Daphnia pulex: one gene and its partner. The protein of the gene in region 1 binds, or shares a complex with, the protein of each later gene. Links are inferred from orthologs where the notes say so. Each region holds a gene or a part of one and is shown in the gene's direction. Other genes may lie near its edges.

Region 1 (2,695 bases):
GGCCTAGCCCGCGCATACAAAGGAGCTGAGGAGCAAGGAAGAGAAATGAAAGTTATGGCTCATTCATGATGTCTGCCTCATCTGAGGCAGAGTCATATGAAAAGGCACAGACGAGACGGAGACGAACGACTGACTGAAATAGAAAAGGATTCCACTAGAGTTTGTGCAGTTTATCTCATGTGTAATGCACTGCTCAGCGCAGTTACCCAGAAAAGAGCCAAGGAGAAAATGCATTGCATTAAATGGGGGTATCTACACAACAATGCCTTGTCGCACAACCAACGGACGGTAAAGTCGAGGACGGGGAGTAGAACCTGAACGACATGAATGCAGCATCGATTTTTGCAACGCGCTTCATCCGGCTCGGCTCGGCGGAAGCCGAGTGACGATCGATACCCTCAGACCCCAGAGAATTTTGGCAAATTAATCATTTTCGGGCCCATGGTAGACCAATATTGCCGCACTTTATAAGGCGATCAGACTAGAAAAAAGAAACGAACTGATTAATAGTTGACTGCAGCAACAAACTCTGAATCGTAAATTATTAACGGGGTTTCTGCCTCGATATCGGTCGGTCACGGACTTGCTATTATTATTTGATTTGTAATGCATCAAGATGAAGGCGGAACATGGTCGGCGATGTTTAAATCAAAACCCGTTCTTGGAAACGCAATAGGGAGTTTGGGAACAAAAATAGAAAATCTGTTGAGTCAACAACTTGATAATCGGTTTAGTTGCGCACGTACTCATATTTCAATGGCTCAAAGCTTGGCACTTCAGTTTAGGCTGGCATATCAAAAGATCAATACTTCAATTGACGTGAATTAGGCTTGCAATTCTTTAGAAGTTCGTCGTCACAATTAACGAATACGAAGTCTTGAAGGGAGGTCATAAGACGTAGGCATAATTGCACGGTTCTGGAGCCAATCTGAATTGTACGGTGAATAAACAAGGCTAATTCAAAAGTGGAGCTCCTCATTATAATCTCCCCGTGAATTGGGTGGAAGTTGCCCTCCAACAAATGCGTGAACCATGAGTTTAAAATTTTTTTGATCACGAATTGTGTCTTTTGAAAAATAGGAATTAAATGAATTGTATAATAAACCCATCATTTTACTATTTTAGATTACGGGCGTAAAGACAGGAGAAATTGAGTCACGTGTCGGCAGAGTAAATGTAAGTTTCCTTCAATACTATACATTTTTTTATTTATTTTTTATTTTAATGTTACCAAAAGACTTGTGTAGCATTTTAAATAGAGACGCAAATCTGGAAATTGAAAAAAAAAATGGAACGGAACAAACAGCAAAACGTGTGCTTTTAGAAATGTGGCATTGGTGCATGGCCGCTGCATTGACGTAAATAAAGATTTCTGCTCTTGTAAAGTCTCTTAGAAAATCTACGGAAAACAACTTCAAAATGGGCCTTTACGGAATAAGGGCATGTTTGGCAGGCAAATACGTTCAAAGGAGCTTGTGCACAACTTGGTAAATACCGGTAGTCAGTATATGACGTCAAGAATTTAATTTATGAGTGGCTACATTAAGAGCTAACTACATTACAATACAATTTGATATTATGAGAAGAAAGCAAAATATTAATGGCACTATTTTCTTGCAGTAATTCTCTCTCACCAAATGCAACTAAAGCTGCCCCGAAAGTTACACCCCTGTCCAAGATTCTAATAGCCAATCGAGGTGAAATTGCCTGCAGAGTCATCAGGTCTGCAAAACGGTTAGGCATCCAAACTGTTGCTGTTTACAGTGATGCAGATCGTAATGCTATGCATGTTAACATGGTAACAACTTTAGAGATTGTATTTGTATTTATGTTTTATATTACATTTGAGTTTACATATTCAGGCTGATTCTGCCATCCGCCTTGGCCCAGCATCCTCTGTTGAAAGTTATCTAAGACAAGACAAGGTTCTAGAAGCTGCTTTCAGAACAGGGGCTCAGGCAATACATCCTGGATATGGATTTCTCTCTGAAAATGTTGAATTTGCAGAGCTTTGCTCTAAAGAGGGTATTATATTCATCGGTCCTCCTGCTTCAGCCATCAGAGACATGGGGATTAAAAGGTATTATTTGTGAAAGTTGTTAAAAGTTTATCATGGAAAATTCTATTCGGAACAATCTTTTATTTCACAGCACCTCCAAACACATCATGTCAGCTGCTGGAGTTCCTGTGATTCATGGATATCATGGAGTGGATCAAACTGATGAAAGATTAAGGCATGAGGCAGAAAAAATTGGATTTCCACTCATGATTAAAGCTGTTCGAGGTGGAGGTGGTAAAGGCATGAGAATTGCGCTTACACAGAGTGAGTTCGAGACTCAGCTCGAGTCTGCTAAACGTGAAGCACAAAAGTCATTCGGGGATCAGGTAGAGAAATTCTTGCATTAATCTTCCTAATTTTCTGTCATTTTTGATAACTGCATAAATTGCAGAATAGAATCAACCGTTAAAAACTAAAGAATGTATAACTCTTTTTGGATAGGTTATGTTATTGGAACGTTATGTTGAAAGGCCTCGACACGTTGAAGTGCAAGTATTTGGCGACAAATACGACAACTATGTCTACCTATTTGAACGCGATTGCAGTGTGCAGCGACGTCATCAGAAGATCATCGAAGAAGCACCTGGACCAGGAATTTCAAGTGAAACGAGAAAGCAACTTGGAGAAGCGGCAGTT
Region 2 (4,272 bases), on another chromosome or scaffold:
TTACTATATGGGATAATGTCAACTGAATGCTGAAGAGATCCAGGAATGGATAGAACACCTTCTTGAGATGCTTGAAGGAATGCCTGTTCCATTGCTGCAGAGTTACACATGTCAATGTGAAGAAGGGAACCAAGGTCCTGCAGGGCTACAACCTGCTTTAGAGTCAGTTGTAGTTCCTCCCCACCATACAAAACTTCAAGCAGCAAACGTAGAGGCTCATAATCAACACCAGGCAAATGAATCACGATTGTAGGATCAGGATTACTGATCAATAGATGTTTGAGGAAATTGCTTGCACCAGCCAAGACTATGCTATGAGCAAAGACAATCCCTCCTTCAGATATAAGCTGTACATCTGTGTAACACAGTCTTCTCTGACAAGATTGAATAGATTCCATCATAGTTTTGGAATGTAAGGAATAAGTCAGTCTGAGTGGCTGCGAATAGGAAGCATCTGGATAGTCCATGACTGAGCCTTCCCTCTCAAGACACCACAATTATTGACTAAAACACCTGCAATATCAAATAATTATTGAATGAACACATAAGCTGAAGTTGCAGTTAATCAAATGATCAAAATATTTGCAAAAATATACCCCAAATCAAGGAGGAATGACGCAGAATGTCAACGACCTCGTAAGAAGTCACGTTCGAGTTATCACTGGCAGGTGGCCTAGCCCTGTTTGTTCGCTTCTTTCACCATCGCTGCTACACCATCTTTTTCTCCATCACGATGTAGTACCCCCTCATTGTTATTTTCACTAGACGATATCACAAATGAAGTCAAATACAGAAACCGTATACACTATGTCGTAAGGCACTGATAAACACGCCGATAATCTTCAATTTTTTTTTTTAGAGAACCATATCTTTTACACACGAACAACAAAATACAAGAAACTGAAACGAAGAACAGTCGATACCGCCGACTCGATGACGAACGAGAACGAACTCAACGAAGATTTCGTAGACTCTTTCTGGGATTCGGCGACCAGCCGACCAATGTTACGGTTAACTGAGTTGCTTGAACCAGTTGGTCTGATAACAAACCTACAAATTGAAACTATTCCTTCTGTACCCCAGTATTGCATAAAGTAGTATATTTATAAAAAATTCAGTGATATTTCATGATTTATGGTCCTAAATAATTGGTCTAGCTTCTGGATTTAATTGATTTAGTTTGCGGATCCACAAAGGCAACGTTGGGTTTACATTTCTTTGCAGACGAACTGTTTTCATTTTTTACTGTAACTAATTCCGGGCTTTAAAGACTCGAGAAAAACAACTCCGTAAATTTGAGAAGGCTCTCTAATTCCGAGAGATAGTCCCATAAAAATGATGTCGATCGCAAAATACAGTAATCTCAGCTACCGTGTAATGTGCAATATGAAACGACTTGTCCCTGTTTCTTCCAGAAATTACTATGCAAATGATAATGTCGTTCCGATTGGAACAGATCAAGATAGAAACTCTGACACCTTCCAGGTTGTTTTTTTACTTCTGAAAGGCTTTAAAATTTAATTTAATAGTAGTTTCAATTCTGAAAATTTATAATTGTTAGTTAACATACAGTTAATTCTTCTTACAGGATAATTACAATAGAATGGCAGTCTTAGTCTCCCAACTGAAAGCAAATATTCAGAGAGTTCAAGAAGGAGGAGGTGCAAAAGCCACTCAGCGACACAAGTCAAGAGGAAAACTTTTGGCGAGAGAGAGGGTGGAAGCTTTAATTGATCCATCTTCACCATTCCTCGAATTTTCTCAGTTGGCTGGAAAGGATTTGTATGGATCTGATGAGGTTCCTGCCGGAGGTGTTATTACTGGAATAGGACGAATCATGGGGTAAAAATTTTAACAAAGAATCCATGTTGTCGTAATCTTACGTCCTCACTTGAAATTGCAGAAACGAATGCGTTATTGTTGCGAATGATGCAACTGTTAAAGGTGGAAGTTACTACCCAATTACAGTAAAAAAACATCTTAGAGCGCAAGAAATCGCCGAACAGAATAGGTGAATATTTTCCTTAAAAAGAGTATTAAATGCAAACTAACGATTGTTCTTCAAACAAAAATGTGTTGCAGTTTACCTTGTGTCTATTTGGTCGATTCTGGAGGTGCCAATCTGCCACACCAGGCCGAAATCTTCCCTGATCGAGAACATTTTGGAAGAATCTTTTACAATCAAGCAAACATGTCTGCCAAGGGAATTTCTCAAGTATAGTGCAAATTTCACAATACTCTATAGTTTTCCATGTGTGATCAACATTTTGTGTCCAAAATAGATTGCGGTAGTTTTGGGATCTTGTACGGCGGGTGGCGCTTATGTACCAGCTATGGCCGATGAAAGTATTATTGTTAGGAAACAAGGAACCATTTTTTTGGCTGGACCTCCACTAGTCAAGGCTGCCACGGGTGAGGAAATCAGCGCAGAAGAATTGGGTGGTGCGGACCTTCATTGCAGGTATTTTAATAATTTAACCTTTCATTGCATAGCTGTTTATAACTGAAACAACTTTACTTACTAGTAAATCCGGAGTTACGGATCACTATGCCGTTGATGATCTCCATGCATTACATCTGGTTAGTATAATGTTTTCTTATTGGGTTAATTCATTTCCGTTTGTAATTTTTCATATTTTTGTTAGGCAAGAAGGGCTGTTGGTAATCTGAATCTGGTGAAGAAGCCGGATATTTCTGTAGCCCCACCAGAAGAACCTCTCTATCCTGCCGATGATATTTATGGAATCGTTGGTGACAATGTTAAGAAAAATTATGACATTCGTGAGGTATATTAAATAACATGAAACAAGAAAAGAATTTCAGTCCTATTGCAAATAACGTAGGTCATCGCTAGAATCGTAGACGCATCGAGATTTGACGAATTCAAAGCCAAATACGGAGAAACACTCGTCACAGGATTTGCACGCATCCATGGTTATCCGGTCGGAATCATTGCAAACAACGGAGTTCTCTTTGCTGAATCTTCGATGAAAGTGTGACCCATTTCCATTTTCATTTGCTTATTTCTTCAATGTATAATTTGCCCCCTTTGTTGCATAGGGAGCCCATTTTGTAGAATTATGTTGCCAGCGCCGTATTCCGCTTATCTTTCTTCAAAATATCACCGGTTTCATGGTCGGACGAGAGGCGGAAGCAGGCGGCATCGCTAAGCATGGAGCTAAGCTAGTCACAGCTGTTGCTTGCGCTCAAGTTCCAAAGCTAACCGTTCTTGTCGGTGGAAGCTATGGAGCCGGAAACTACGGGATGTGTGGAAGAGCCTACAGGTATTGTTCGTCAGAGACTCTTAACGCAAATGTTTTTGGTTCAAATGCACTCTTCTTTTTATTTTTAGCCCAAGATTTTTGTACATGTGGCCGAATTCGCGAATTTCAGTGATGGGTGGTGAACAAGCTGCCGGAGTCCTTGCACAGATTTCGCAAGAGCAGAGAAAACGAGAAGGCAAACAGGTACAACCCATAGATGCTTAATTAAGCTTGTTTTCCAATTTAAAAAAATCGTTTCCTTTCATAGTGGACTGCTGAGGAAGAGAAAGCATTAAAAGATCCGATTTTGAAGAAGTATGATGTTGAAGGATCTCCGTACTATTCTTCGGCTCGACTGTGGGATGATGGTGTAATTGACCCAGCTGACACACGCAAAGTTCTGGCACTGAGTCTTAGTGCAGCGCTTAATGCCCCAATCCCATCCACTAAATTTGGTATTTTTAGAATGTAAATCTGGGCGAGAAAGTGTATAAAATATATAGATAACTATTGATGTTGGGTCATCCAAAAACAATTTATTGATTCATAATTACATTTTTGTTTCACAGGCATTCTTACCTAGACTATAACCATCATTCAAAATTAATAAATTTTTATTTCTTTATTTATTCAGATATTTCGCCTGACACGTTAATGTGTTTTAAGTTTTGACCTTGTAAGTCTTCGAAGAATCAATGCCCCAAATTTATAGGATGCAAACATTGTGAACACCAAAGACACAAACAAAAAGAGCCACACATCAAGCAGATAAACTTGATAAAACGGCATGTCTTTACTTTGAGGGTGTTTTGGTCCGCCGTGACGAAGGACGTGTTCTACCCAATAGGCAGCTACTTTTCTTGATGGCATCAGTTCATCATGCATCAGGTGGGACAGTCGGGTAGCATTATTCTTGAAGCTGGTAATGAGGTAATAAAAAATGTGCTCTTAAGTTTTGAAAAGCGTATAAAGGTGAGAAGTACATCGATAGTTTTAGTGACAATAGTTC

The links.
Region 2: the proteins of methylcrotonoyl-CoA carboxylase subunit alpha, mitochondrial-like (region 1) and methylcrotonoyl-CoA carboxylase beta chain, mitochondrial-like are in contact, whole or in part, in a cryo-EM structure (PDB 8JXM), measured with the Homo sapiens proteins. The link is inferred for Daphnia pulex from reciprocal best matches to the Homo sapiens genes MCCC1 and MCCC2. Residues at the interface, in NP_064551.3 of Homo sapiens: Glu519, Phe526, His531, Asp532, Phe534, Ser535, Pro536, Phe537, Ser538, Ser539, Ser540, Ser541, Gly542, Arg543, Arg544, Leu545, Asn546, Ile547, Tyr549, Thr550, Arg551, Tyr568, Tyr636, Leu637, Ser641, Glu644; in NP_071415.1 of Homo sapiens: Leu56, His57, Val60, Glu61, Lys64, Asp88, Ile91, Pro93, Gly94, Ser95, Pro96, Phe97, Leu98, Glu99, Gln102, Ile123, Gly124, Arg125, Gly128, Glu130, Arg234, Trp276, Leu278, His281, His282, His285, Lys298, Lys299, Leu300, Ile304.

What each region holds. Positions count from the first base shown.
Region 1 is NC_060018.1:1,614,244-1,616,938, reverse strand, and holds part of methylcrotonoyl-CoA carboxylase subunit alpha, mitochondrial-like, read left to right. Parts: intron 1-1,125; 5' UTR 1,126-1,176; intron 1,177-1,237; exon of another isoform or gene 1,238-1,259; 5' UTR 1,260-1,419; coding exon 1,420-1,487; intron 1,488-1,620; coding exon 1,621-1,798; intron 1,799-1,862; coding exon 1,863-2,080; intron 2,081-2,150; coding exon 2,151-2,385; intron 2,386-2,500; coding exon 2,501-2,695.
Region 2 is NC_060021.1:11,219,159-11,223,430, forward strand, and holds methylcrotonoyl-CoA carboxylase beta chain, mitochondrial-like, read left to right. Parts: upstream 1-1,225; 5' UTR 1,226-1,335; coding exon 1,336-1,485; intron 1,486-1,588; coding exon 1,589-1,842; intron 1,843-1,903; coding exon 1,904-2,011; intron 2,012-2,082; coding exon 2,083-2,215; intron 2,216-2,282; coding exon 2,283-2,461; intron 2,462-2,525; coding exon 2,526-2,580; intron 2,581-2,645; coding exon 2,646-2,786; intron 2,787-2,843; coding exon 2,844-2,993; intron 2,994-3,060; coding exon 3,061-3,284; intron 3,285-3,352; coding exon 3,353-3,467; intron 3,468-3,531; coding exon 3,532-3,735; 3' UTR 3,736-3,789; downstream 3,790-4,272. Other genes in the region: fez family zinc finger protein erm-like, read right to left, coding at 1-467; UDP-glycosyltransferase UGT5-like, read right to left, coding at 3,915-4,182. UniProt on the Homo sapiens protein: Carboxyltransferase subunit of the 3-methylcrotonyl-CoA carboxylase, an enzyme that catalyzes the conversion of 3-methylcrotonyl-CoA to 3-methylglutaconyl-CoA, a critical step for leucine and isovaleric acid catabolism.